4 linked regions of the Anolis sagrei genome follow. The protein of the gene in region 2 purifies or fractionates together with the protein of the main gene of each other region. This does not show direct contact. Links are inferred from orthologs where the notes say so. Each region holds a gene or a part of one and is shown on either strand. Other genes may lie near its edges.

What was found.
Region 1: the proteins of TRIM25 (region 2) and IGF2BP3 purify together in Homo sapiens (affinity purification with western blotting; 3 studies listed by BioGRID, with this or other methods). This does not show direct contact. The link is inferred for Anolis sagrei from reciprocal best matches to the Homo sapiens genes TRIM25 and IGF2BP3.
Region 3: the proteins of TRIM25 (region 2) and G3BP2 purify together in Homo sapiens (affinity purification with mass spectrometry; 4 studies listed by BioGRID and IntAct, counting the BioPlex papers as one, with this or other methods). This does not show direct contact. The link is inferred for Anolis sagrei from reciprocal best matches to the Homo sapiens genes TRIM25 and G3BP2.
Region 4: the proteins of TRIM25 (region 2) and G3BP1 purify together in Homo sapiens (affinity purification with mass spectrometry; 4 studies listed by BioGRID and IntAct, with this or other methods). This does not show direct contact. The link is inferred for Anolis sagrei from reciprocal best matches to the Homo sapiens genes TRIM25 and G3BP1.

What each region holds. Positions count from the first base shown.
Region 1 is NC_090026.1:93,000,271-93,007,394, reverse strand, and holds the start of IGF2BP3 (insulin-like growth factor 2 mRNA-binding protein 3), read right to left. Parts: upstream 3,022-7,124; 5' UTR 2,876-3,021; intron 2,448-2,875; exon of another isoform or gene 2,445-2,447; coding exon 2,270-2,444; intron 1-2,269. UniProt on the Homo sapiens protein: RNA-binding factor that may recruit target transcripts to cytoplasmic protein-RNA complexes (mRNPs). This transcript 'caging' into mRNPs allows mRNA transport and transient storage.
Region 2 is NC_090022.1:144,128,823-144,135,777, forward strand, and holds the start of TRIM25 (E3 ubiquitin/ISG15 ligase TRIM25), read right to left. Parts: upstream 3,024-6,955; 5' UTR 2,920-3,023; coding exon 2,302-2,919; intron 1-2,301.
Region 3 is NC_090026.1:55,185,273-55,192,290, reverse strand, and holds the start of G3BP2 (ras GTPase-activating protein-binding protein 2), read left to right. Parts: upstream 1-3,994; 5' UTR 3,995-4,148; intron 4,149-7,018.
Region 4 is NC_090022.1:84,248,919-84,256,393, reverse strand, and holds the start of G3BP1 (ras GTPase-activating protein-binding protein 1), read left to right. Parts: upstream 1-4,465; 5' UTR 4,466-4,608; intron 4,609-7,475. UniProt on the Homo sapiens protein: Protein involved in various processes, such as stress granule formation and innate immunity. Plays an essential role in stress granule formation.

The sequences.
Region 1 (7,124 bases), on a different chromosome or scaffold from region 2:
CAACAGAAAGGACAAAAACATGAAAATGAACAAAATCTGGCCACCAGTTTTAAAAACACTCTAAAGAGCAACACTCAAAAAGCAGGGGAAGTCCAGTCAAAAATCAATTAGGGTCAGCTAATCACCTCCCAACAAAGGATCCCCCCAGGCAGCAATCTGCCAGACCTTAAAACTGCAAGGCCATTCAATGCTAATCAGGGGGCCTCATCACACTAGAGAATGAATCCACTTTATACCCGGTTTCTGCCTCTTGCAGAATTCTGGGGTTTGTTGTTTAGGGATGAGCTTTAAACACCCTCACCAAACTATAAACCCCAAAATTCTGCAGGAAGCAGAAACAGGATTTTAAAGTGGATTCATTCTCTAGTGTGATGAAGTGGAAGGTGGCCAACTACAACATTCACACTTGCCTCAAACAGACAAGAGTTCTTTCTCCCACCCTGGACATAATTCCATTATTTAAACCTCATTTTTCCTAGCTTCCAAGAAACCTCACAACCTCTGAGGATGTCTGCCATAGATGCAGGTGAAATGTCAGAAGAGAATGCTTCTGGCGCATGGCCATACAGCTCAGAAAACTCACAGCAATCTAGGGCCTTATCTCTCAGAATATCAAGACAGAAAATCTGACATTATCTGCTTTGAACCGGAATATATGGCACTGTGATATGCAAACCTCACTTGCCTTGTTTCCAACAGACCTCACAACCTCTGAGGATGCCTGCCATAGATGCAGACAAACCTTCAGGAGAGAATGCTTCAGGAGCATGGCCGTACAGCTTGCAAATCTCACACCAACCTAGGGCCCTATCTCCCAGAATATCAAGACAGAACATCCAACATTATCTGCTTTGAGCATACAAAGCAAATGAATATATGGCACTGTGGACACAGATAACCCAGTTCAAAGCAGATATCGAGGGGTTTTGATATTCTGGGATATAGGGCTGTGTGGAAGTTTCCAACAGACCTCACAACCTCTGAGGATGCCTGTCATAGATGCGGGCGAAACATCAAGAGAGAATGCTTCTGGAACATAGCCATACAGCCCGGAAAACTCACAGCAACCCAGGGCCCTTCCATAAAGCCCTTTATCCCTGAATATCAAGGGAGAGAATCCCACATCATCTGAGTGTGGACTCAGATAACCCAGTTCAAAACAGATATTGTGAGATTTTCTGCCTTGATATTCTGGGGTAAAGGGTTGTGTGGAAGGGGCATCAGATAATCCAGTTCAAAGCAGATACCGAGGGATTCTCTGCTTTAATATTCTGGGTTATAGGACTGTGTGGAAGTTTCCAACAGACCTCACAACCTATGAGGATGCCTGCCATAGATGCAGGCGAAATGTCAGGAGAGAATGCTTCTGGAGCATGGCCATACAGCTTGCAAAACTCACACCAACACAAATCTATTTTAATAAAACTCCACCGTGTTGGTGGGCTTTGCAGCACCGGGGGGGGGGGGGAGAGGAGACTCCACTCTGTGTGTGTGTGTGAGTGAGAGAGAGAGAGAGAGAGAGAGAGAGAGAGGGGGAGAGGGAGAGGGAGAGGGAGAGAGAGAGAGAGAGAGAATTTGTATATATATTCCTTTCTTTGCTTGCTTTCCTAACCACCTGCCCTTCCTGGGCGCCCCAAGCCACCTTTGTCCGGGGCGGAGAGAAAGGCGAGAGCGCGCATGGAGAAGAAGCCAGAGAGAGTGTGTGTGTGTCCCTTCCCACCCAACAGCTTTGGGCCCTTTCCACGCGTTTCTGTCTCGCCATCTCTCCCTTCTCCGACAGAGTGGGGCTTCCTTAACCCCCACCCCCCACCTCGTTCCCTATCCTCTTATTCCTGAAGCCTGGAGAGATGCAGAAGGGGAGTCTTGGGGGAGAGATGTGTGCGTAATGCGCCCTGGCTTTGGGCCTTCTTGTGGCACCACCAAAACAAAACAAAAAAGGGGGGGTTCTCTTTTTGCGCCTTTCCTTGTTGGGGGGGCAAAGAGGAGGAGAAGAGGGGGCCCTTTCAGGTCCGCTTCGGACCCTCCCCATCCTAAATAAGGTCTTTTAGAGACTGGGAGAAAACTGGGGAAAGGGGTCCCTTTTTGGAGAGAGAGAGAGGTAGCGCGCGTCTCCAAAATGGGAATGGAGAGAAGAGAGAAGGCGACCACGCGGCGATGGAGAAGGAAGAGAGAGAGAGAGAGGATGGCGCACGGGGAAAGCAGGGAAATGGGGAAAAGAGGGAGGCATTTGGAGGGGGAGGAGGGTATTGAGAGGGGGTGTTGGACCCACCTGAAAGTGCCTCGATGGCCTTCATGGCCCAGTTCTCGTCGGGGCAGTCCACAAACGCGTAGCCCGTCTTGACGAGGAACTGGCCGGTGAAAGGGATCTTGGACTCTTTGAAGAGACTTTCCAGGTCTTGCGGGCTCACGTTCTCGCCCAGGTTCCCGATGTACAGCTTGTTCATCTTCTTGGGTGAAGGATCAATACACAAAAAAAATTAGATCCTGGCTTAATAATTTAGGGGTGGAAAAAAATAACAAAACACACAAGAGGAAGAGAAGCACCACTACTTGGGAAAACAGCAGCAGAAGAGACAACAAAACAATATCCTTCCAAAGGATGCAATAAAATAAAATAAAAAGCCAAAGAGGGAGGGCTTTCCCCCCAAAAAACCCAACAAAAAAAGGAGGAAAGGATCACAACTGCGGCTTATATCCGTCCCCACCCCTCCCTCTTTCCCTCCTTCCTTTCCTCCCTTCCTCTCTCTCTCTCTCTCTTACTTACACACCCACTTTGCAAAAAGGCAACATATCCAAAGAGATACTGGGAATGAGGGGAAATAATGGGAATTAGGGAAGGAAAGGAGTAGATAAATAAATAAAGAAGGGAAAGTACTTTTTCTTTGCCTTGTTTCCTTCTCCTTTTGTATGTGAGTGTGTGTGTCTCTCTCTCTTTGGTGGCCAAAGCAGGCGGAGTATGGAAATGTTACAATGCGCGCATCGCAAGGCACCGCCTCTCTCCAAAGAGTAGAGAGAGAGGGAGGGAGGGAGGGGGAAAAGAGAGAGAGAGAGAAATCGCTTGAATATTCCGGCTCTTTTTTTTTTTTTTTTTTGAATGAGGCCACGTGTTCAAACTACAAATCAACTTCTCACGCGAGGAATCCCAACGCCTCAATTAAGAGAGCGCGACTCACAAAGGAGGAGAGAGGAAAGGAAGAGGAAAAGGAGAGGCTGCGTTGTGCCTTTTTTTTTTTTCAGCTGTCCTGGAGAAGTTTCTTTTTCTTTCCTTTTTTTTCTCTCTCTCTCTCCCCTCCCCCTGTTTACTACTTTCCGGGTTGGGTTGCTTAATACATACACACACAGAGAGAGACAGATCTATATATATCTCCACTTTGACGCGCAGGCGTTTTGGCGCGCCTCTTTCTCTCCCGTGCGTAAAAAGCGGCGCCGCGGCTCTCCACGTTTTCCAGCCTTCCTCGCGCGGATCGGGGCGTGGGGTCTTCGAGGAGAATCGATGGGCTTCGAGGAGAATCACTTCGTTATCTGGTCCCCTCACGGGGAGGAATTTGGAAAGAGAAGCCCGGGAAGAGCACACCAAATCGCAAACCCCCAAGGCGACCAAATGAGATTTGGAACCCTATCACACTAGAGAATGAATCCACCTTAAATCTGCCTCCTGCTGAATTCTGGGGTTTGTAGTTTAGGAAGGAGCCTTTAATAGCCTCCCTAAATTACAATCCCCAGAAATCTGCAGGAGGCAGAAACCCGATTTAAAGTGGATTTATTCTCTAGTGTGACCTCCTCACACTAGAGAATGAATCCCGCTTTAAATGGGGCCGCTGCCTCCTGCAGAATTCTGGAGTTTGTAGTTTAGGGAAGCACCTTTAATAGCCTCCCTAAACTACAAACCCCAGAAATCTGCAGGAGGCAGAAACCCCATTTAAAGTGGATTCATTCTCTAGTGTGATGAAGTACTTATAAGGACCTCATCACAGTAAAGAATGAATCCACCTTAAATTGCTCCCTCCTGCAGAATTCTGGTTACAAGAAGGTCCTCCATTCTGCATTTGGCAGAGCTCAGGCTGCATTGTAGTAAGTGATCTGTGGTTTGCTCGTATGTTGTGGACTCCCCCTCTGAGCATACTTGCCATAGATTTGGGTGAAATATCAGGAGAGAATGCTTCTGGGAACATAGCCATACAGCCCAGAAAACTCACAGCAACCCAGACAAAAGTTCTTTATACCACCCTGGATTTTCCAGAGATATACAAACCTCGCTTGCCTAGTTTCAAACAAACCTCACAACCTTTTAGGATGCCTGCCATAGATATGGGTGAAATGTCAGGAGAGAATGCTTCTGGAAACATGGCTATATACAGCCTGGAAAAATCACAGCAACCCGTAAAAAAAACAACTCTTAGGACCTCATCACACTAGACCCAGAAATCCTAACAGCTGGTAAACTGGCTGGGATTTCTGGGAGTTGTAGGCCAAAACACCTGGGGACCCACAGGTTGAGAACCACTGCACTAGAGAACAATTCCACTTTAAATCCAGCTGTGGTCTCCTGTAGAGGTCTAAGGTTTGTAGTTTGAGGGCGGGGGGCTTTAACAGCCTTCCTATACTACAAACCCCAGAATTCTACAGGAGGTCTAAAAGGCGACCTGTTTTGTGTATTGTCAAAGGCTTTCATGGCCAGAATCACTGGATTATTGTAAGTTTTTTAGCCTGTATGGCCATGTTCCAGAATTGGAACATGGTCATACAGCCCTAAAAACTTACAGCAACCCAACCTGTTTTGGATAGAGAGTGGGGGGTATATTATTCTTTGAGGCATTCCAGTTTTCAGGATATACTAGCCATCCCTGCCATGCCTTGCTGTGGCCCAGTCTTTGTATATGTGTTTTGTGTGTGTATATATATATGTGTGTGTGTGTATTTTTATATATGTGGTTTTCCGCATGGGTTATAATGTATTTTTAAAATTTTTGGCTTTTAAAGTCTCTTCTGCTGTGTTTTTCAGTGTTTTTATGAGTGATGGTCACTTGTTGGCCTGATAGGTGTCTTGTGTCCAAATTTGGTGTCAACTCGTCCAGTGGTTTTTGAGTTATGTTAATCCCACAAACGAACATTATATTTTTATTTATATAGATTACTAGCGGTCCCCTGCCACGGGTTCCAGTCTGGTGATCTGGAAAACAAAGTAATTAGAAAGTGTTGGTTTCTAATATATGTAATTTATTTATGCTTGTGTGTAAACAGCATTTCTTGCTGTTTCTTTGTCAGTGTTGATGTGGAGATTGTCTGGTTTGCTCACCCTGGAACATGCAACATATAATTGTCCTTCTTTAGGAGTGCCTTTCAAATCTATGATACTATATCTCTGTGTGAATCATATCTATCTATATCTATGACTGGATGGCTCTTTGTCAGGAGGGCTTTGATTACATTGCCTTGTTGAAGGGAGTTGGACTGGATGGCCTTAAGTATGAAGGTTCTGTGTGGGAAGTTTGCTCCAATTTTGTCGTTGGTGGAGTTCAGCATGCTCTTTGATTGTAGGTGAATCCCAGTAACTACAACTCCCAAATGTCAAGGTCTATTTCCCACAAACTCCATCTGTGTTCATATTTGGGCATATGGAATATTCGTGCCAAGTTTGGTCCAGAGTGCTCTCTGGATGTAAGAGAACTACAACTCCCAAACTCAAGGTCAATGCCCACCAAACCCTTCTAGAGTTTTCTGTTGGTCATGGGAGTCCTGTGTACCACATCTGGTTCAATTCCATCATTGGTGGAGTTCAGAATGCTCTTTGATTGAAGGTGTACTATAAATCAAAGTAACTACAACTCCCAAATGAAAAAAAATAATTTTTTTTAGTGATGATCACTCCTTGGATTAGTAGATATCTTGTGGCCCAATTTGGTGTCAATTCGTCCAGTGGTTTTTGAGTTATGTTAACCCCACAAACGAACATTACATTTTTATTTATATAGATTATTATGATGATTTCCAAAGCATCCCATCCATGTGCGTTTGGTCTGCTCTTTATTTCAATGTTGGGTGGCTGGCTTGGCTTTCTTGCTGGCCATTGGCTCCTTGCTTAAGGAAAGAAAAGGAGGAGACAAAAATAAAAAAAAAGCAAGCCGGGGTCTTGTTGAGGCCGGGGGAAAAAAGAAGAAGAAGGGAAGGGTCTCCTTGAAACCGTTCCCTCCCACTCCCCCTTGCCACCCCTCCTTTTCCTCCCCTCCTTTTCCTGCATAGTGATATTTCTGGCGCGTTGGTGAGCCTTGGTGAATGTGATGCCTCCACGACGTTATGAATCGAAGGACAAAAGGGGTGGAGGCCGGTTGGAGGGGGATTAGAAGGAAAGAAAGAAAGAAAGAAAGTGGGAGGGCAGAGGAAAGCGTGCTCCTCCGGACAGAGCGGCCTCTCTCCCCCCTCCCTCTCCCCATTCCAGACCCTAACCCTTCCCCCTCCTCCTGTCTTTTTAAATTTAGTTAATGGTGGGTTTTTGTGCTGTTTCCTTAAAGGGGAAGGGGAGCAGCACTGGGCATGGTCAGCAGGCAAGGCAGCCCTAGGATTACCATACAGAATCCACCCACCCACCCCCATTCCTCCTCCCTCCTCTCTCTCTGTTTCCCCCTCCTCTCTTGGTTCAAGGAACCATTCATAATTTTCAACATTTGTAAAGAGCACACAATGGTGGGTTTGTAGGGGGAGGGGGTCAGGGTGTGTGTAGGAGAGAGAGTGAGTGGAGCCTGGTTCCAGGGCAAACAAAAAACGTGGCCTGGAAAACACACACACACACACACAAGAGAAAGGAAGGATACAGAAATGAAAGCCAGCCCTGTTGTTTTAATATTTAGGACTCCAGTAAGTTTTAAGAATTTGCTTTCAAGGAAAAAAAAGGGGTCATTGCTATGCATAGATTGGGTGGGAAAGGAGGATGGATGGGATGGGATGGGATGGGAAAGCCTTCCCAGGACTTTTGTTTATTTATGGGGCCCCTTCCACAGCCCACATGATCTGCTTTGAATTGGATTATATGGCAGTGTGGGCTCAGATTATGGGGGCTCTTCCGGGAATTCTGTGGGATTTTCTCCCTATAGATATGTGGAAAGGCCCTGGGTTACATATTTTGTGGA
Region 2 (6,955 bases):
TACTCCAGGAAATAATGCCCAGCTGGGAAGGATATTAGAGGCCAAGATGAAGTACTTTGGCCACATCAAGAGAAGACAGGAAAGCTTAGAGAAGACAATGATGCTGGGGAAAATGGAAGGAAAAAGGAAAAGGGGCCGACCAAGGGCAAGATGGATGGATGGTATCTTTGAAAGGACTGGCTTGACCTTGAAGGAGCTGGGGGTGGTGACAGCAGACAGAAAGAGTTGGAAGCAACTGAAAAAATAAACAACAAAATGTGCTTTCAAGTTGATTGGCAATTCTAAGACAATCACAACATGGGGTGTTCTTGGCAATATTTCTTCAGAAAACGCTTGCCACTGTTTTTCTCCAAGTCTGTGTGGCCTGCCCAAGGTCACCAACTGGGCTTACATGGCCAAACAAGGATTCGAACTCTGGTCTTCCAGAATCCTAGTCCAACACCCAAACCAAAACACTGTGCTGGCTCTTTTCATGGACGTAATTTGTCACCAATAGCTAACAATGATCTGAATGGGTTGCTGTAAGTTTTCTGGGCTGTATGGCCATGTTCCAGAAGCATTTTCTCCTGATGTTTCACCCACATCTATGGCAGGCATCCTCAGAACAAAACATTACAACCTCAAAGGATGCCTGCCATAGGTGTGGGCAAAACATCAGGAGAGAATGCTTCCGGAACATGGCCATACAGCCTGGGAAATTGACAGCAACGCCGTGAATTCAGCTATGAAAACCTTCGACAGCACAATGATTTGATTGCTAGGCTGTAGGATACTAAGGAATGAAAGCCAATGTAGTAGAATGTTGTTTTGCAAGATCTTTAGCTTTCTCTGCCACAGGATGGCTCACCAAACTACAAATCCAAAGATTCAACAGCACTGAGCCCTGGAAGTGGTGTCAAACTGCAATAATTCCACAGTGAAGATGCGCCCTAGGCCTCTGGAAACTACTTAACCATATTGCAAACCATGGGAGAACTTGGATCAATCATATTCTCTCAATCTCTGAGAAAGCCAATGGCAAAGCTTTTCTGAACAAATCCTGCCAACAAAAATCTGCAATAGGGTGGTTATATGCTGCAAATGATATAAAGGCACACAACAACTACACACAAGGATACCAAGGACCAGTCCCAAGACATACTGCTCTGTGGGGCAAAAGACAAGATAAGCAACCCTAGCCACCTTGAGTGGCTGTATCAGGAGAAAGACAAGATAACAATACAGCAAATGAAAATTGAAGAAAAAAATACTTGTTCACCCCATAAAAATCTAATACAATTGTGCAATCTGGGCCTGCAGTTCTTGCAACATGTCTAAGTGGGGCCTTTCACAAAATCTGGGGTGCATCGCTGATTCCCAAACTCTAGTCCTCCAGGTGTTTTGGACTCCCAGAAGCCTCAACAGCTCTGACCAATGATCAGGGAATCCAGGAACTGATGTTCAAAAGACCTGAAGAACGAGTTTAGGAAAGACCGAATTAACACACATTGACACCCCTTGAACTGCCCTGGCTCGAGGCTATGGAAACCTGGGAATTGCAGCTTCCCAAGGCCTTTAGCCCTCTCTGTCAAGAGTGCTGGGGCCTCAACAATCTAGGATTCGACAGCATTGAGCCATCAAAGTTCAAGTAGAGTTACACTACATTCGTTCTACAGTGTAGGCCAAACTTTGCCCCTCCAAAATCAGGCATGGGCAAATTTCAGCCTTTTGGACTTCAGAACACACTACATTCATTCTACAGTGTAGGCCAAACTTTGCTCCTCCAAAATCAGGCATGGGCAAATTTCAGCCCACGGGTGTTTTGGACTTCAGAAATTCCACCCAGTTTATCAGTTGTTAGGAATTATAAGAGTTGGAAGTCCAAAACACCTGGAGGGTTGAAGTTCACCCATGCCTGCTCCAGGTGTTTGTGACTTCAACTCCCAGCATTTAAACTAGAATAAAATTTCAGAATGCAGTTTAACTGCATTGAACTGGATTATTTTATTCTACACTACCATAGAACCCAGTTCAATGCAGTCAATGTGCATTCTGAAACTGGATTTGATGACAGTGTAGACCAGGCACGGGCACACTTGGGCCGTCCAGGTGTTTTGGACTTCAACTCCCACAATTCCTAGCAGCCTCAGGCCCTTTCCTTTTACCCCTCAGCCACTTACGGCTGAGGGGGAAAAGGAAAGGGCCTTAGGCTGCTAGGAATTGTGGGAGTTGAAGTCCAAAACACCTGGACGGCCCAAGTGTGCCCATACCTGTGATAGCTTCTTCATCTCCAAGCTTTGCTGCATGAGGCCACCGCCTCACCTCCTTCTCCTCCTTGGCCTGGGCCAAGGGGACGGTGTCGCAGGCCTTGTGGGTGACCAAGCAGAAGCAGCAGATGCACCTGCCGTGGTCCTGGCAGTGGAACTCGAGGAGCTTGCCGTGGTCGGGGCACTTCCTGCTGTGGAGGTCCCTCACGGGGGGCACCAGGTGGTGGCCCTTGAAGGCCGGGCTCTCCAGGTGAGGCCGGAGGTGCTCCTGGCAGAAGGAGGCCATACAGCTGAGGCAGGTCTGGGCCGCTTGGGCCCCAAAGCAGCTGTCGCAAGGCACAGGACTCTCCTGGGGGAGCTTCTTCTCCGCCGCTTTGGGGCCCGGGTCTTCCTTGAGGGGCTCCTTCCCAAACTGCTCCACCACTCGGCACAGCACTGTGTTCTTCCTCAACTCAGGGCGGCTGTGGAAGTGGGTCCTGCATTGGGGGCAGCTGAAGCCCTCGCCTGAGGCCTTCCCGGGGCCCCAGGTCATTTCCAAGCAGGGCAGGCAGAAGTTGTGCCCGCAGGGGGTGGTCACTGGGCTCTCGAAGAGGCAGAGGCAGATGGAGCAGGTCAGCTCCTCTTCCAGGCCGAAGAGGACCGGCAGAGAGGGCGCCCTGGCCACCTCAGCCATGGCTGGAAGCAGAGTGAAGCGAAAGCAAGCCGAGGAGGCTCTTAAGCACTGCCAGCGGAGAAGCGAAACTCAGGAGGAACCACTTATTGGAAGTCACGTGACGCAGAGAAGCCCAGCCAGAATACACACACACAGCATGAGCAACACCCTCCCCTCTCTCTCCGTTTAGTGACCCACGGAAAGAGAAACGCCCGCTCTTTCTCTTTCTCTTTCCCCCGCTCTCCTTTCCATTCAGGGCTGGGGAGTTAACGCACTTCGACACCACTTTAATAGCTCAAGGCTATGGCGGGCTAGCCTGTGTGTGTGTATATATATATCACATCGCTGTATATCTATATAATACTAGCTTTACCCACCACGCGTTGCTGTGGCCAACCTTCTCTCCCTCTTTCTCTCCTTCTTTCACTCCTTCCTTCATTTCCTTTTCTTCTTTCCTTTCTTCCTTCTCTACCTGTTTACTTCCTTCCTTAGCTTTTTGCTCCCATCCTTCCTTCTCTTTATTTCTTTCCTTCCCTCCCTCTTTCTCTCCTTCTTTCTCTTCTTCCTTTGCTCCGTCTTTCCTCCCTTTCCTTTTTCTTTCCTTCTCTCCTCCTTCTTTCTCTTCCTCTTTCCTTCCTCCTCCCTTTTTATTTTCCTTCCTCTTCCTCTTTCTTCCCTCTCTATCTCTTTCCTTCCTTCCTTCGCTCTTGACTTCCAGACTTCCTTTTCTTTCTTTCTTTTCTTCCCTCCCTTTCTCTTCTTCCTTTGCTTTTTTCCCTCTTCCCCTTCCCAAATTCCCCTTCCTTCCTTCCTTCCTTCCTTTTGACACCTTCCCTTCCCCTTCCCTTTCTTCTTTTTTTCTATCTTTCTTTCATTTCCTCCTTCCTTCCTTTCTCCCTTCTTTCCCATCCTCCTTCTCTCTCTGTATTCTTTCTTTCCTACCTTTCTTCTTTCATATACCTTCTCAACTTCCCTCCCTCCCTCCCTCCCTCCCTCCCTTCCTTCCTTCCTTCCTTTTGACACCTTCCCTTCCCCTTCCCTTTCTTCTTTTTTTCTATCTTTCTTTCATTTCCTCCTTCCTTCCTTTCTCCCTTCTTTCCCATCCTCCTTCTCTCTCTGTATTCTTTCTTTCCTACCTTTCTTCTTTCATATACCTTCTCAACTTCCCTCCCTCCCTCCCTCCCTCCCTCCCTTCCTTCCTTCCTTCCTTCCTTTTGACACCTTCCCTTCCCCTTCCCTTTCTTCTTTTTTTCTATCTTTCTTTCATTTCCTCCTTCCTTCCTTTCTCCCTTCTTTCCCATCCTCCTTCTCTCTCTGTATTCTTTCTTTCCTACCTTTCTTCTTTCATATACCTTCTCAACTTCCCTCCCTCCCTCCCTCCCTCCCTTCCTTCCTTCCTTCCTTTTGACACCTTCCCTTCCCCTTCCCTTTCTTCTTTTTTTCTATCTTTCTTTCATTTCCTCCTTCCTTCCTTTCTCCCTTCTTTCCCATCCTCCTTCTCTCTCTGTATTCTTTCTTTCCTACCTTTCTTCTTTCATATACCTTCTCAACTTCCCTCCCTCCCTCCCTCCCTTCCTTCCTTCCTTCCTTTTGACACCTTCCCTTCCCCTTCCCTTTCTTCTTTTTTTCTATCTTTCTTTCATTTCCTCCTTCCTTCCTTTCTCCCTTCTTTCCCATCCTCCTTCTCTCTCTGTATTCTTTCTTTCCTACCTTTCTTCTTTCATATACCTTCTCAACTTCCCTCCCTCCCTCCCTCCCTCCCTCCCTTCCTTCCTTCCTTCCTTTTGACACCTTCCCTTCCCCTTCCCTTTCTTCTTTTTTTCTATCTTTCTTTCATTTCCTCCTTCCTTCCTTTCTCCCTTCTTTCCCATCCTCCTTCTCTCTCTGTATTCTTTCTTTCCTACCTTTCTTCTTTCATATACCTTCTCAACTTCCCTCCCTCCCTCCCTCCCTCCCTTCCTTCCTTCCTTCCTTCCTTTTGACACCTTCCCTTCCCCTTCCCTTTCTTCTTTTTTTCTATCTTTCTTTCATTTCCTCCTTCCTTCCTTTCTCCCTTCTTTCCCATCCTCCTTCTCTCTCTGTATTCTTTCTTTCCTACCTTTCTTCTTTCATATACCTTCTCAACTTCCCTCCCTCCCTCCCTCCCTCCCTTCCTTCCTTCCTTCCTTTTGACACCTTCCCTTCCCCTTCCCTTTCTTCTTTTTTTCTATCTTTCTTTCATTTCCTCCTTCCTTCCTTTCTCCCTTCTTTCCCATCCTCCTTCTCTCTCTGTATTCTTTCTTTCCTACCTTTCTTCTTTCATATACCTTCTCAACTTCCCTCCCTCCCTCCCTCCCTCCCTCCCTCCCTTCCTTCCTTCCTTCCTTTTGACACCTTCCCTTCCCCTTCCCTTTCTTCTTTTTTTCTATCTTTCTTTCATTTCCTCCTTCCTTCCTTTCTCCCTTCTTTCCCATCCTCCTTCTCTCTCTGTATTCTTTCTTTCCTACCTTTCTTCTTTCATATACCTTCTCAACTTCCCTCCCTCCCTCCCTCCCTCCCTCCCTCCCTTCCTTCCTTCCTTCCTTCCTTTTGACACCTTCCCTTCCCCTTCCCTTTCTTCTTTTTTTCTATCTTTCTTTCATTTCCTCCTTCCTTCCTTTCTCCCTTCTTTCCCATCCTCCTTCTCTCTCTGTATTCTTTCTTTCCTACCTTTCTTCTTTCATATACCTTCTCAACTTCCCTCCCTCCCTCCCTCCCTCCCTCCCTTCCTTCCTTCCTTCCTTCCTTTTGACACCTTCCCTTCCCCTTCCCTTTCTTCTTTTTTCTATCTTTCTTTCATTTCCTCCTTCCTTCCTTTCTCCCTTCTTTCCCATCCTCCTTCTCTCTCTGTATTCTTTCTTTCCTACCTTTCTTCTTTCATATACCTTCTCAACTTCCCTCCCTCCCTCCCTCCCTCCCTCCCTCCCTCCCTTCCTTCCTTCCTTCCTTTTGACACCTTCCCTTCCCCTTCCCTTTCTTCTTTTTTTCTATCTTTCTTTCATTTCCTCCTTCCTTCCTTTCTCCCTTCTTTCCCATCCTCCTTCTCTCTCTGTATTCTTTCTTTCCTACCTTTCTTCTTTCATATACCTTCTCAACTTCCCTCCCTCCCTCCCTCCCTCCCTCCCTCCCTTCCTTCCTTCCTTCCTTCCTTTTGACACCTTCCCTTCCCCTTCCCTTTCTTCTTTTTTTCTATCTTTCTTTCATTTCCTCCTTCCTTCCTTTCTCCCTTCTTTCCCATCCTCCTTCTCTCTCTGTATTCTTTCTTTCCTACCTTTCTTCTTTCATATACCTTCTCAACTTCCCTCCCTCCCTCCCTCCCTCCCTTCCTTCCTTCCTTCCTTTTGACACCTTCCCTTCCCCTTCCCTTTCTTCTTTTTTTCTATCTTTCTTTCATTTCCTCCTTCCTTCCTTTCTCCCTTCTTTCCCATCCTCCTTCTCTCTCTGTATTCTTTCTTTCCTACCTTTCTTCTTTCATATACCTTCTCAACTTCCCTCCCTCCCTCCCTCCCTCCCTTCCTTCCTTCCTTCCTTTTGACACCTTCCCTTCCCCTTCCCTTTCTTCTTTTTTTCTATCTTTCTTTCATTTCCTCCTTCCTTCCTTTCTCCCTTCTTTCCCATCCTCCTTCTCTCTCTGTATTCTTTCTTTCCTACCTTTCTTCTTTCATATACCTTCTCAACTTCCCTCCCTCCCTCCCTCCCTCCCTCCCTCCCTCCCTTCCTTCCTTCCTTCCTTTTGACACCTTCCCTTCCCCTTCCCTTTCTTCTTTTTTTCTATCTTTCTTTCATTTCCTCCTTCCTTCCTTTCTCCCTTCTTTCCCATCCTCCTTCTCTCTCTGTATTCTTTCTTTCCTACCTTTCTTCTTTCATATACCTTCTCAACTTCCCTCCCTCCCTCCCTCCCTCCCTCCCTTCCTTCCTTCCTTCCTTTTGACACCTTCCCTTCCCCTTCCCTTTCTTCTTTTTTTCTATCTTTCTTTCATTTCCTCCTTCCTTCCTTTCTCCCTTCTTTCCCATCCTCCTTCTCTCTCTGTATTCTTTC
Region 3 (7,018 bases), on a different chromosome or scaffold from region 2:
TCAGAAATGGGGCTACAGGGTGGAATCAACGGCATGCGAGTGCGAAGAAGAACAAACCACTGAGCACCTGCTGCAATGCACCCTGAGCCCTGCCACATGCACAATGGAGGACCTTCTTGCGGTAACACCAGAGGCACTCCAAGTGGCCAGATACTGGTCAAAGGACATTTAACCAACTACCAAATTTGCAAAATCTGTGTTTTTGTTTTTTTTTTTTCTTCTCTTTTTAATCTGTGTGTTTGCTTTGCTCTGTTAGAATTGTAATACAATGGTATGGTTGCTGATGACACGATAAATAAATAAATAAATAAATAGGCCTAAATCTCAAAATGTAGGTGAGGACTGAAGTTGTCTTTTCAATAAGGTTCTGCCTTCACTTTGTGGTCAAGCAAGGACCATATATATTATGTAATCTATATATCAATATATAGTATTATATGTTTGTTTGTATTTTTCAAGAAACCCCCAACTTTCAGAGAGCACTGGAACTCCCACCAACAATGGATCTGGACCAAACTTGGCACACAGACCCACCACCCCCATAACCACCAGAACATACTGGAGGGGTTTGGTGGGATGGGCCCTAGATTATGTGAGTTATAGTTTACCAACATCCAGAGGCCACTCTGAAGCCGGTTTGGGGAAGGTGGGGGCTAACCTTGAATTCTGGAAGTTGCAGTTCACCTACAATCTGAGAGCACTCTGAATCTACACGATGATGGATCTGGACCAAACTTGGCACACATACCCAATATGCCCAACTCTGAATATATATTCATATAATAAATACGCATCTTGATTTAAAAACCAAGGAGTCTGCATTTTTCATTTGGGATGAAGAAGGTATCTACTACTGCATCCCATCCATGATGATGATGATGATGATGATTATTATTATTATTATTATTTCCGTTACTTTTACCCCGCCCTTCTCACCCCCAAGGGGGGACTCTGGGCGGCTTAGAGGAAGGCACAATTCGATGCCTTTGTCACATATACATACATATATAAAAGCAATTAAACAGTTACAAATTAAAATTAAAACCATCAATACAATAGAATACAATAACACAATAGTAAACTAATCCTGAGCTCAGCGTTTGGAGTTCCGTAAATCCATTCCGTCAAATTCTAGCTCATCATCAAGTCTTTCTTTGGCTGCCAGAATGTCCAAATGCCTGGTCCCATATCCAGGTTTTCAACTTTTTCCTAAATGAAAGAAGGGAAGTTGCCGATCTAATCTTTGTATCGTGAATGTTCTTTAAACTATGGGCAGCTCTCTCTCTCTCTCTCAAGGGAGTTGTAAAAACAGGTTCCAAGCTCCATCTACACTACCATATAATAATTTGAAACTGGATTATATGGTCAGTGTAGATTAATGTAATGTAGTTAAGCTAATAGAAATAAACAGATGGATGTGTCTTGAGTGTCCTCTCCAACTCAGTAGAGGAAGCAAATGGATGTCCTAAAATGGATGTCAGGATGGTGCCTTTCTGCCCAGAAGAAGGGGGTCAGTCTAGATGTTCCTTGATGAGGTCTGTACTATGATTTCTGTTCTCCCCCAATTTAACACAGTTTGTGCCACACAAAGTTTCTGGAGTAGAACAACTACTTTCAAAGTAAAAAACACACAATTAAACAGGAAATAACACTTTCAAACCAGGAACAGATTTTCTTTATTATTAATTTTTTAAATAAAAACTTTGAAAATTCACCAAAAATCCATGGATAAGTCAAAGGTTATGAAATTTGGTGAGCTAACAGTGGTCCATGTGTTCTACCGCTGTCGCAAGTTTCATCAGGGTTGGTCTAAAAATGAGGGAGAATAGAGAATCCCCCGAAGTTTCACCAGTGCTATTTTTCCCTACTGTGTATGCACATCTGCATTAACAAATCGATTCAGAAGTTTCAGAAGTTTCGGAAAGTTCCAACTTCTCCCCCCAGAAAAATTCAGAAATGTGTTTAGAATTGAACCACCAGCACTCTTTACATCCTAAACGAGTTTTGAACATTTTTTAAATCAACCAAACCTAGTGTCCAGGGATGCATAGTCTGCAAATCTGCTGTAGCAGTGTTCATGCAGAGCATGTCTAGTAATGGTGAGAGTGCTGATCCCTGATGCACACCAACAGTGATAGTGAAAGGTGGTGAAATCTCTGCAGGGCAGCAGACCATACTTGTTCTTAACTTTTAATATGTTTGAAGGAGCTGGGCATGTTTAGCCTGAAGAAGAGAAGGCTGAGAGAAGATATGATAGCCATGTAGAAATATGTGAGAGGAAGCCACAGGGAGGAGGGAGCAAGCTTGTTTTCTGCTTCCCTGGAAACTAGGACGCGGAACAATGGCTTCAAACTACAAGAAAGGAGATTCCATCTGAACATGAGGAAGAACTTCCTGACTGTGAGAGCCGTTCAGCAGTGGAACTCTCTGCCCCGGCATGTGGTGGAGGCTCCTTCTTTGGAAGCTTTTAAAAAGAGGCTGGATGGCCATCTGTCAGGGGTGCTTTGAATGCAATATTCCTGCTTCTTGGCAGGGGGTTGGACTGGATGGCCCATGAGGTCTCTTTCAACTCTAGGTTTCTATGATTCTATGGATTTTAACTGAATGCTTAAAAATACTGTCTGTGTTTAATTCTGTTTCAATGTTTGTATATTTATATATTTTAAATTGGATACCAATGATTTTATGTCAAGCTGCTTTGAGTCCCCTTTGGGGAGATAAAAGTGGGATATAAATATTATTATTTTACTGACACAAAAACACAGTATGTCACAGCAAATGAGATATAGATGCTGTATTTCGTATCACAAAATCACAAGTCGAACACTTCCCAAGCGTCTAGGACTGTATGGTGTATTTTCGAATGATGCGTGCGGATCCAAGCAAGGTGGCCTTTTGCAGTTGACATATTGTGATTTTTGTCAGTGTTTATTGTTTATAAATGCTGGATGAGCTCTTCCGGAGATACTTCTGGATTGGCACGGCACCCAGTAGCTTCATCCATGTTAGATAGTCTTCTGGTATTCCATGTGACCATAGTGCTCACCAGATCAAGTCATGGGGAATCTAATCAAATGCTTTTTCACGTTCAAGGAATGGTATGTAATGTGTTAGGTTGTTAACTGTTTTTATACTGTAGCACTGAATTTTTGCTGTTCGTATTTGTTGTGAACCGCTGTGAGTCGCCTTCGGGCTGAGAACAGCGGTATATAAGTAAGGTAAATAAATAAATAAATAAAAATTATTATATTATGTTTAGGGCGGGATATAAATAGTATTATTATTATTATATGTACAATATTAGCATGGCTTGCTAGCAATTCACTCTCAACAAGAGATTCCCCCCAGGCGCTTCCAGGCCATTGAATGCAAATCAAGGTGATCAGCTGAAACATTACCCTGGTCATTCCAAAGATATATAAACCCATTTTTCCTACTTCCAACAGACCTCACTACCTCTGAGGATGCTTGCCATAGATGCAGGCGAAACGTCAGGAGAAAAATTGCCTCCAGAACATGGCCATATAGCCCGGAAAAACCTACAACAACCCAGTGATCCCGGCCATGAAAGCCTTCGACAATACCTTGCTAGCAATGTTTACGAAAGAACCTACAGGGAACCGGAAGTGGAGCGTGCACGAAGCTCTCTTCCAATGAACTCTTGAGAGAAGAGAATGGCCGGCTTCGAGGTTTTTTTGGGCGGACTTCAACTCCCAAGCGCCTCAGAAGCTTGTCTAGGCGGCAGGAATTGTGGGAGCTGAAGTCCCAAAAACCTGGCGGCCCTAACGGAGGACGTTACAATGGCCTTTCCTTTCCCGGAAGCGTAAGCATAGAGAGGATAAACAAAAGAAGGACGCCAAAGCCGGACTTCCGTTTGGCCCATCACTTCAAAAGCGTGCTCCTCGCGCACCAGATGTGGCGGCTTTAGCCCCGCCCACTCCTGGCGGCTATTGGGGACCTTTTCGCAGGCGCGCGCGCGCTTTCGGCCTCGCGCTCTCCCGGCGGGGAGCGAGAGAGCCACTTCCGGTTCCGCCCGGACTCCGTCTGAGGGAAGGAAGGAAGGAGGGAGGGACGCGCAGCCCCAGTCGCTCCTCCCCGTGCCTTCGGCCGGGAGCGAACCGGATCCCGAGACCGCGGAGAGCGCCTAGGTGGGTAACGGGGCACGGGCGGATGGGGAGCCTCCTGGGCCCGCGCTTTGCCTCCTGGCGGGGCTTTTTTCTCGCCCCTCAGAGAAAGGACGTGGCGGAGGAGGGAGGAGGGGGGATGCTGCTGCTGCTGTCAACAGCAGTTAATTGCACAGAGCTGCATTATGTGGGTCTACGCTGACCATATCATGCAGTTCCAAACTGCATTGTATTGCAATGTAGATGGGCCCCCTTCAACCCCGCCTCCTAATACGCAGTAAACGTTGGCCTCGAATCAGTGTATTCGCCTTACAACTACCATGTAAGGCAGGTCAGTACTGAGGAGTTTGCAGAAAAGCCGAGGTTTATTTCTTTTCACCATTCTTTCACCAATAATAGTAATAATAGTACTAGTAATAGTTTTATTTCTTATTGTGATATAATAATACTATTACATATAATATTAATGTATTGTCGAAGGCTTTTTGTGATATAATAATACTATTACATATAATATTAATGTTTTAATGTAATCTATCTATATATAAATAAAAATGTAATTTCGTTTGTGGGATTAACAGAACTCAGAAACCACTGGATGAATTAACACCAAATTTGAACACTAATCAGGCCAACGAGTGACCATCACTCATAAAAACACTGAAAAACACAGAAGAGACTTAAAAAGCCAAAACGGCTCGGAAACTCCAATTGATCCAGCGGGCAGCAGCCAGAATGTTAACTGGGGCCCATTACAGAGAGAGGTCAACCCTCCTGTTTAAGGAGCTCCACTGGCTGCCGTTTGTTTTCCGAGCCCAATTTAAGGTGCAGGTGCTTACCTACAAAGCCCTGAACAGTTTGGGACCACCCTACCTGCGTGACCGCATCGTTGTCTACGAACCCACACGCTCACTCCGGTCATCTGGAGAGGCCCTGCTCGTGATCCCGCCCGTGTCACAAGCGCGTCTGGTGGGGACACGGGACAGGGCCTTCTCCGTGGTGGCCCCCCGCCTCTGGAACACCCTCCCGAAAGACCTCAGACAAGCCCCTACACTGGCAGTCTTCAGAAAGAATTTGAAAACCTGGCTGTTCAAATGTGCCTTCTCAGACTAGGAACCCTATATGCCTTCTCTGGCTAGAAACCCCAGTTCCAAATCCCAGAAGCACTTTAGTCAGAATCAAGACCACCGCACACTGCACACCACATTTATATTATAATCCCATATCCCTCCGACACATCAGCACTTTTAATCCTGTACCCCTATTCCGGCCGGCTCAATTTTTAATAATGTCTTGCTGTATTGCTATTGTATTTGTTTTTCTGCTTAATTGTCTTATTTGCTATGTATTGTATTGTTGTATTGTGTGGGCTTCGGCCTGTTGTAAGCCGCACCAAATCCTTCGGGAGATGCTAGCGGGGTACAAATAAAGTTATAATAATAATAATAATAATAATAATAATAAAACAACAACAACATTACAACGCATGCACAAACACACATGTATACACATATACACAAATATATATACAGACACATCTATATAAATAAAAATGTAATGTTCCTTTGTGGGATTAACATAACTCAAAAACCATTGGGCAAATTAACACCAAATTTGAACACTAATCAGGCCAACAAGTGACCATCACTCATAAAAACACTGAAAAACCACAGAAGAGACTTAAAAAGCAAAAAAAAAAAACCAACAAAAACATTACAATGCATGCACAAACACATATGTATACACATACACACAAATATATATACAGATACATCTATATAAATAAAAATGTAATGTTTGTTTATAGGATTCACATACTCAAAAACCACTGGATGAATTGACACCAAATTTGGACACAATACACCTTATCAGGCCAACGAGTGACCATTACTCATAAAAACATGGAAAAACACAGCAAAAGAGACTTAAAAAGCCAAAACACAAAAAGATAAATTACAACACATGTACAAAACACACATATACACAAATATATACACCCATATATATACACACAAAACACATATACACAGACTGAGCCACAGCAACGCGTGGCAGGGGACAACTAGTTTTATATATATACCTCGACTTATTATATAATACAATATATAATAGTATAATATACTGCGCATGTGTTGTGGTACGAAAATATAGTACAATACAATATATAATTATATAATAATGAGATATAATCTATATAAATAAAAATGTAATGTTCATTTGTGGGATTAACATAACTCAAAAAATGCTGGGCGAATTGACACCAAATTTGGACACAATACACCTCTCAGGCCAACGAGTGACCATCACTCATAAAAACACTGAAAAACACAGCAAAAGAGACTTAAAAAGAAAAAAAAATTAAAATGCATTACAACACATTCGCAAAACCACATATATAAACAAACAGGCATATATACACATATATATAAATATATACACACATATATACCCGTACAAAATACATATACACAGACTGGGCCACAGCAACACGTGGCAAGGGATGGCTAGTCTATATAAATAAAAATGTAATGTTCATTTGTGGGGTGATCATAACAAAAACCACTGGATGAATTAACACCAAATTTGAACACGAATCAGACCAACGAGTGACCATCACTCATAAAAACACTGAAAAACACAGAAGAGACTATGAGGAGCAGCTTAAGGAGCTGGGCATGTTTAGACCACACCTGGAATATTGTGTCCAATTCTGGGCACCACAATTCAAGAGAGATATTGACAAGCTGGAATGTGTCCAGAGGAGGGAGACTAAAATGATCAAGGGTCTGGAGAACAAGCCCTATGAGGAGCGGCTTAAGGAGCTGGGCATGTTTAGCCTGAAGAAGAGAAGGCTGAGAGGAGATAGGATAGTCATGTGTAAATATGTGAGAGGA
Region 4 (7,475 bases), about 60 Mb from region 2:
ATGAATTCACTTTGTTATTGACCTTAAGATTGGCAGGCATCCCAGTGTGTGGCCAACAATTGGGGGGGGGGAGCCCTCGATGGCGCAGTGGATTAAACCCTTGTGCCGGTAGGACTGAAGGCCGACAGGTCGCAGGTTCAAATCTGGGGAGAGTGCGGATGAGCTCCCTCTATCAGCTCCAGCTCGTCATGCGGGGACATCAGAGAAGCCTCCCATAAGGATGATAAAACATCAAAACATCCGGGCGTCCCCTGGGCAACATCCTTGCAGACGGCCAATTATCTCACACCAGAAGCAACTTACAATTTCTCAAGTCGCTCCTGACACGACAAAAAACAAAACAAAACACGGGGGTGTTCCTTATTGCTGGGCCAGTAGCAGCCAAGTGAAATGCTATGAGAGGTTCTCAGCGCTGGCTGATTTTTACTCTAGGCTATCCATTGCTGTTATGTGATCCCTCGTTGTCAGAGTAGGACAGTCTTCCAAAATCAGTGTATTGGTGGGTCCATAGGTGACTGTGGAGCCCTATTCTTGATCTGCATCTTCTCCCGCAGTGAGGGCATAAGTTTCCAGGTGGAATGAGGTCCCGGTCAGGGTTGGCTTGATGTGCCTTCCTCATGGCATGTTTCTCTCTTTTGCCCTCCATTCATGCCTCTTCAAATTCTACAGCACTGCTGGTCACAGCTGACCTCTAGCTGGAGTGCTCAAGGGCCAGGGCTTCCCAGTTCTCAGTGACTATGCCAGAGTTTTTAAGGTTGGCTTTGAATCTCTTTAAATCTCTTTTTCTGTCCACCAACATTCTGTTTTCCGTTCTTGAGTTCGGAGTAGAGCAATTGCTTTGGGAAATGGTGGTCTGGCATCCAAACAATGTGGCCGGTCCAGCGGAGTTGATGGTGGAGGACCATCGCTTCAATGCTGGTGGTCTTTGCTTCTTCCAGCACGCACTCATTTGCTATCTGACCATTGTTACCATATTACGAACTGGAAGAGCAGGGCTGTAGCAAAAATTAATGGGGAGGGGTGGCTCTTACAGGCCCGGGTGGCTGTAGTGTTCCTCCACTAGAGTACTCTTCCAACTGGCCCTCATTTTCATAGCTTATTATTAAGTTATTATTCCTGTTATTTGCCATTTTGGTCACGTGCTGATATTGCTTGGTCTATGACGGGTCCACAAACTTTTTAAACAGAGGGCCAGGTCACAATCCCTCAAACTGTTGGAGGGCCGGATTATAATTTGAAAAAAACATGAATGAATTCCTATGCACATTACACATATCTTATCTGGAGTGCAAAAAACACTTTAAAACAATACAATAATTAAAATGTGGACAAGATACTTGGAGGAATGAGACCCACCACGTCCATCCTAGACCCCTGCCCATCCTGGCTTCTTAAGGAGGCCAGAGGGGGATTGGCCGAGTGGGTAACGGTGGTGGTTAATGCCTCCCTTCGGGAGGGCAAGATTCCAGCGAGCCTAAAACAGGCTGTTATAAAGCCGCTGTTGAAGAAACCATCACTTGACCCCACTAAATTGGACAACTTTCGGCCTGTTTCCAATCTCCCCTTTTTGGGCAAAGTCATGGAAAGCGTGGTGGCCTCACAACTCCAGGTATTCTTGGGAGACACGGATTATCTGGATCCGGCACAGTCTGGTTTCAGACCGGGACATGGTACCGAGACGGTCTTGGTCGCCTTAGTGGATGATCTGCGCCGGGAGCTAGACAGGGGGAGTGTGTCCCTGTTGGTGCTCCTGGACCTCTCAGCGGCCTTCGATACCGTCGACCACGGTATTCTTCTGGGGCGCCTTGCAGGGATGGGTCTTGGGGGCACTGCTCTGCAGTGGCTCCGGTCATTCCTGGAGGGTCGTACTCAGAAGGTGTTATTGGGGGACTCCTGTTCAACGCCGCAGCCGTTGACCTGTGGCGTTCCTCAGGGATCCATCTTGTCCCCCTTGCTGTTTAACATCTACATGAAGCCGCTGGGTGAGATCATCCGGAGTTTCGGGGTGCGGTGTCACCTGTACGCAGATGACGTCCAACTCTGTCACTCCTTCCCACCTGCTACTAAGGAGGCCGTCGAAGTCCTGAACCGGTGCCTGGCCGCTGTAATGGTCTGGATGAGGGCGAACAAACTGAAATTAAATCCAGACAAGACAGAGGTACTCCTGGTCAGTCGCAAGGCCGAACAGGGTATAGGGTTACAGCCTGTGCTGGACGGGGTCGCACTCCCCTTGAAGGCGCAGGTTCGCAGCTTGGGTGTGACCCTGGACTCATCGCTGAGCCTGGAGCCCCAGGTTTCAGCGGTGACCAGGGGAGCATTTGCACAGCTTAGGCTCGTGCGCCAGCTGCGCCCGTATCTTGGGAAGTCTGACTTGGCCACGGTGGTACACGCTTTGGTCACATCCCGCCTCGACTACTGCAACGCTCTCTACGTGGGGCTGCCCTTGAAGACGGCCCGGAAGCTTCAGCTAGTCCAGCGCGCGGCAGCCATGTTGTTAACGGGAGCTGGACGCAGAGAGCATACAACGCCTCTGCTGTCCCAACTCCACTGGCTGCCGATCTGCTACCGGGCCCAATTTAAGGTGCTGGTGTTATCCTACAAAGCCCTAAACGGTTCCGGCCCAAAATACCTTGCAGACCGCATCTCGGCCTACGAGCCCACGAGGGCCTTGAGATCATCCGGGGAGGCCCTTCTCTCGGTCCCGCCCGCCTCACAGGCACGTCTGGCGGGGACGAGGGAGCGGGCCTTCTTGGTGGTGGCCCCCCGACTGTGGAACACTCTCCCTGCTGAAGTTAGACAGGCGCCCTCCTTGATGGCCTTCCGTAGGGGCCTAAAAACATGGCTCTTCGAGCAGGCCTTCAATTGAGTGTAGTTAAATTGACACTGGAATGAATTAGGACTACGAATTTCGGCTATGACCCCAGGACTTGACGAAGCGGATTTTTAGTATAAGTATATGTTATGTTGTATTTGTCTGGTTTGTATCGTCTTGACTCACTGTACACTGTCTTCTTTGTTGTTGTTCACCGCCCCGAGTCGCCCCCGGGCTGAGAGGGGCGGTCAATAAATGCAAGAAATAAATAAATAAATAAATAAATAAAATGAAGAACAGTTTTAATAAATATAAGCTTATTAGTATTTCAATGGGAAGTGTGGGCCTGCTTTTGGCTGATGAAATAGGGTTGTTGTTGTTGTTGTTGTGTGCTTTCAAGTCATTTCAGACTTAGGTTGACCCTGAGTGAGGGCCGGGTAAATGACCACAAAGGGCCGCATCCAGCCCCCGGGCCTTAGTTTGAGGACCCCTGGTCTATGACATGTTGGTGGGCATGTGCATATGTTACCTAAATACCCTAAGGCACTGGATCCCATTAGATCTTGGTAGCTAAGCAGGGTCATCTTTGGTGATGGGAGGCGACCAGTGCCTTGAATGCACATACATGAACATATGTGCATGCTGCCACAAGAAAACCCCTCAAGGTCCAGTGTATACAAGGTTCACTCAAATCCAGGGGACTCCTTGGCTCGTTTGTTCTCAAATACAGTGCACTCTCAGTTAACCAGAACGCAGGCAAACGGTGGTACTCACGAGTAAACAGCAAAAGAGAAATCGAAGGAATAATTCTTTGAATAAAAATTAAAATAAAATCAGATTAGCAGAAACGTGTAAACTTGGCATGCCTGTTGCAATTCGACGCTTGTTAGTAAAGTTCATTAAGTTGAGAAGTTTTTTGACTGCCATTTAACTAAAATTGCGTGCTGGAGTCACAAAGCTGTTTGCACAATAGGTGTTAAAACTGTCTTAGTTTGCTTTAAATTTCTGTATTTGATGCAATACCAAATCAATACAGAGTGTATGGTATGGCACAGCATGGGACATAGTATTAATGTGGATTATAATGAGTTCCAGGCACTCATTCGGTGATTGAAGAGACTACCCAGAGCAAGGCGAGGACGCGCACGCAGCCTCTCCCGCTGCTCGGAAGCGGCAGAATATTTTCAACGCCTTTCCCTTTAAGAAACGCCACTCCGTCTCCTGTCAATCACGGGATAACACCTTTGGCAATTGGGCCCGGCGACCGGCGCTCGTCTTCAGCCCGCCTCTCCTCGCACGGGGTTTCCAGTCCTCGATTCCTAGGGTTCCCACTGTGCAGCGCACCTATCCTTGGCGGGCAGCGTGGCCACGCCCCCGCGGGTTCTCACTCCTAATAACGCGGGGAGCGTCGTCTCATTGGTGTTTGCCAGATCCGTCGACTCCTGACTCTGCCTTAATAGGTCTGCGCTCCACACCTATTGGCTAGAACACCTGTCTGTCAGAGAAACCGGCTTCACGTTATCCGCAGCCAGATTCGTCGATCCAGTTGCCTTTCCGAACGCGGCCTGCCCCTTCTTCCTCCAGCTGGCCTATCAGCTTCCGAGCTGGGGAGAGGGCCGGCTTCTGACTGGTTGCGAGCGTGCCACAGGGTTAGGTTACGCGCGAGGTATATTTAGCCGGCGGTAGAGCACGCTGTTGCGTGAGGTGCTTCCCGTCTCCTTCGGCTCGCCCGCTTGTCTGCCTCGCACGGAGTGAAACCTCCTCCTTCTCGCCGCCCATCTCCGCCTCGCCCGCAGGTTGGTGCGAGAGGGGGAAAGCCGTTGGGTCACGTCCTTCACGAGCCGGCGAGCGGCGCGCCTTTGTCGTCACCGTCGCCATAGACACGCGGGCTCCGCGCGGCCTTTCCTGACTGGGGGGCGCCGGGCGAAACCATTACACATTGGGGGAGAGGGGGGTTGACGAGCACATTGAGTGGGCCTTTGGCTCTGGCGTTGAGGAGGCGATGCTCCCCCTTCCCCCCTCGGCAGCGAGGGAAGAGGTTCTGCCCGGGATAAGGGGTGGCAGAGCGGCCAAAAAAGGAGCGGGCCGCGTTGCGTATCTGAAGCCGCGCCGTTACTAAGCGAGCTGAGGTCTATTAACAGGAATTCGTGAGGCCCAAGAGGAGAGTTCCATTCAGGATTCTGGAAAGGGGGTGGCGGGAGTGACTGAGGATCCCAATCTGGCCCAGATCGAGTGCTTCCCCCCCCTCCTCGAGGACCTCTGAATAGCGGAGGGCCCGAATCGTGACTGAAAACCTGGAAGGGCCTGGCTTGTGGGCTCCTCTCGCGCCTTTGGGGGAAACCGCCCCGCCAAAGGCTTCCTAAAAAGGGGCGGAAATCGGGGGAGGTGTAACAGACGCCTCGCCTCCCCCTTCCAACCATTCACCTTAACAGAAACCGCTGCAATCCGGAGGACAATAGTGGCGAGGGAAGGAAACCTTGGCAAAGGAGGCAGGGCCGCAAAGCGGGTTCATTGCCGCCTCGTTGTGTGAGAGCGGCAAGCTTTTGTCCCTTCCCTTGGGCGGTCCAGCGTTGGCTTCTTTTCTTTCGTTGGCCTCGGATTGTACCCAATGTCGGGGTTTCCTTGGCTTTGTTCTAGCAGTATAGCCAGCAGAAAATCAAACCCTTTTGCTTCAGAGATGGATTGTTAGTATTTTAAAATACAGAATAGATCCCCGCAAAACTAGACCAAAGCGTGTCTGTACCAGTGAGGACATTTGTCAAGGTCAGGCTTAGCAGTAATAAGAGGTCGATGCACATATTTTCTATCTTTTCCTTAACTAAGTTGGACACTTGAGTACCCTTGGAAAGATTGTTCAGTGTGTGTGTTAGTTTGAGCATGAAAATCTGTAGTGAAATTGGTGTTCATCACACGCAGATATATATACTTACACCGTGTCAGGTGGCAGCATCATAATCTACTGCAGGGTATTTGTAGCAAGGGGCAGTGCTTCCAGTCTGTGCTATTTTTATCCTCTTTTTTTCACAGGCATGGCACAAGGTTAGGAACTGCAGGCAGACCTACTGAAGTTTGCAGATAGGTGTTCCCTATTCTGTGAACTGCTACTTTAGGGTCATGTGAAAGGCTGTGGTCAATCATCGATGGAAGAGTCATGCTATTTAGTTAAAGAGCTTTATATATGTGTGTATTTCTTTAAAATGGAGGATATCTTATGTTTAAATTATATTGAAGTTCTTTGAGAAGTGTAGTGTTAAAGATTGACATGATAGTGCATTGTTTGTCTCTTCTAAGCACTTTACAGGCTTGTATTGTGTTTTAATATTGAGCCCTTAACAGTGATTGAATTGTCTTTTGCTTGCATATAAGCAAAGTGGATGGGGTTATAATAAACATCATCTGGACCAGTTATATTATTTTTGCTGTCCATACTTTCTAGCATTTCTCAGAGTAAGAAATGCCTATAGTTGGAACTCTGTTTTTATAAAGGGAATACTACAATCTTGTTTCTCATTAATTTATTGAAAATAAAAATAAAGTATGTGATCAGAAGGAATTAAGAAAATAAAGATGGTTAATTGTGTATTTTCCCTTATGATGTAGTTTCACTTATGATGTAGATTCAGGAGCACCTCATGAGTTACATAGGACTATTTTCACTTGGAATTCTCACCTCCTCCCTTCCCAGAAACTGAAAAAGCACATGGATAATATAAAAAAGTTAAGGAACAAAGAGCACTTTCTACAAAGCTGCATGTGGTCAAGCAGTCCTCTAGAAATACTCATTTTTTGTCATTATTGTTTGGACAAAGTCATATTTAAGTGAGCTCTACAGCACTATACTTTTCCAGTATTGGGATTCCTATAGCTTAGACTCCCACTCCCCCAGTAGCTCATATTAATAGAATATGACAATTGTAGTATAACAATACCTTTGGAATGGTTAATTCAAACTTAAGTGAATCTTGAATTTTTAAGAACGGTGGAATGTAGTGATTAAAAGTCATATTAGGCATTTATTAATTGGCTTGGAATTATTTTTCCTCTTGGTACAGAAGATGTATGCTTTCAAATTTTTGATGCTGCAGAGTTGCTCAGTATAATGTATTTTTCAGTTGCAACTTTTGAGGCTTCCTTTCCCTCAGTGAGTTCTTATGTAATTAGTGGAAATATAATGTAATAGCAATCCCATAAAGGTCAGAGCTCAGGGGTCAGTCTGTGGCAGAGGAGCCACAACTTTCCAGCCCCTGCCAGATGTATGTCAGTGCAGAATGAGCTGTGTGTGTGTGTGTGTGTGTGTGTGTATATATATAGAGCAATTTTCACTCTCTTCTTGCCTTTTTCCTCCATTAGTTTCAACAGGAAGTAAAATGACAGCTTATTTCCAGCCAATACAGCATTTATGTATCCATTTTGATCATGTGCCCCAGAAATGAAGATACTGGATGCAGAGCTTTCCTGGATTAGTCCTGCAGTACTCCTCCCTCACTATTAATTTATATTCTACCTTACTCCCAATAATAAAACTGAAAGTGGCTAACATATTTAAAACGATAAAGATTAAAAACCATATAGAGACTGTAAAGAAAAGTATTACTCGGTTATTTAAAAACAGTCAAACAATTTTTATTTAAAGCATTGGAATTCAAAAAATGCATAAAATGCA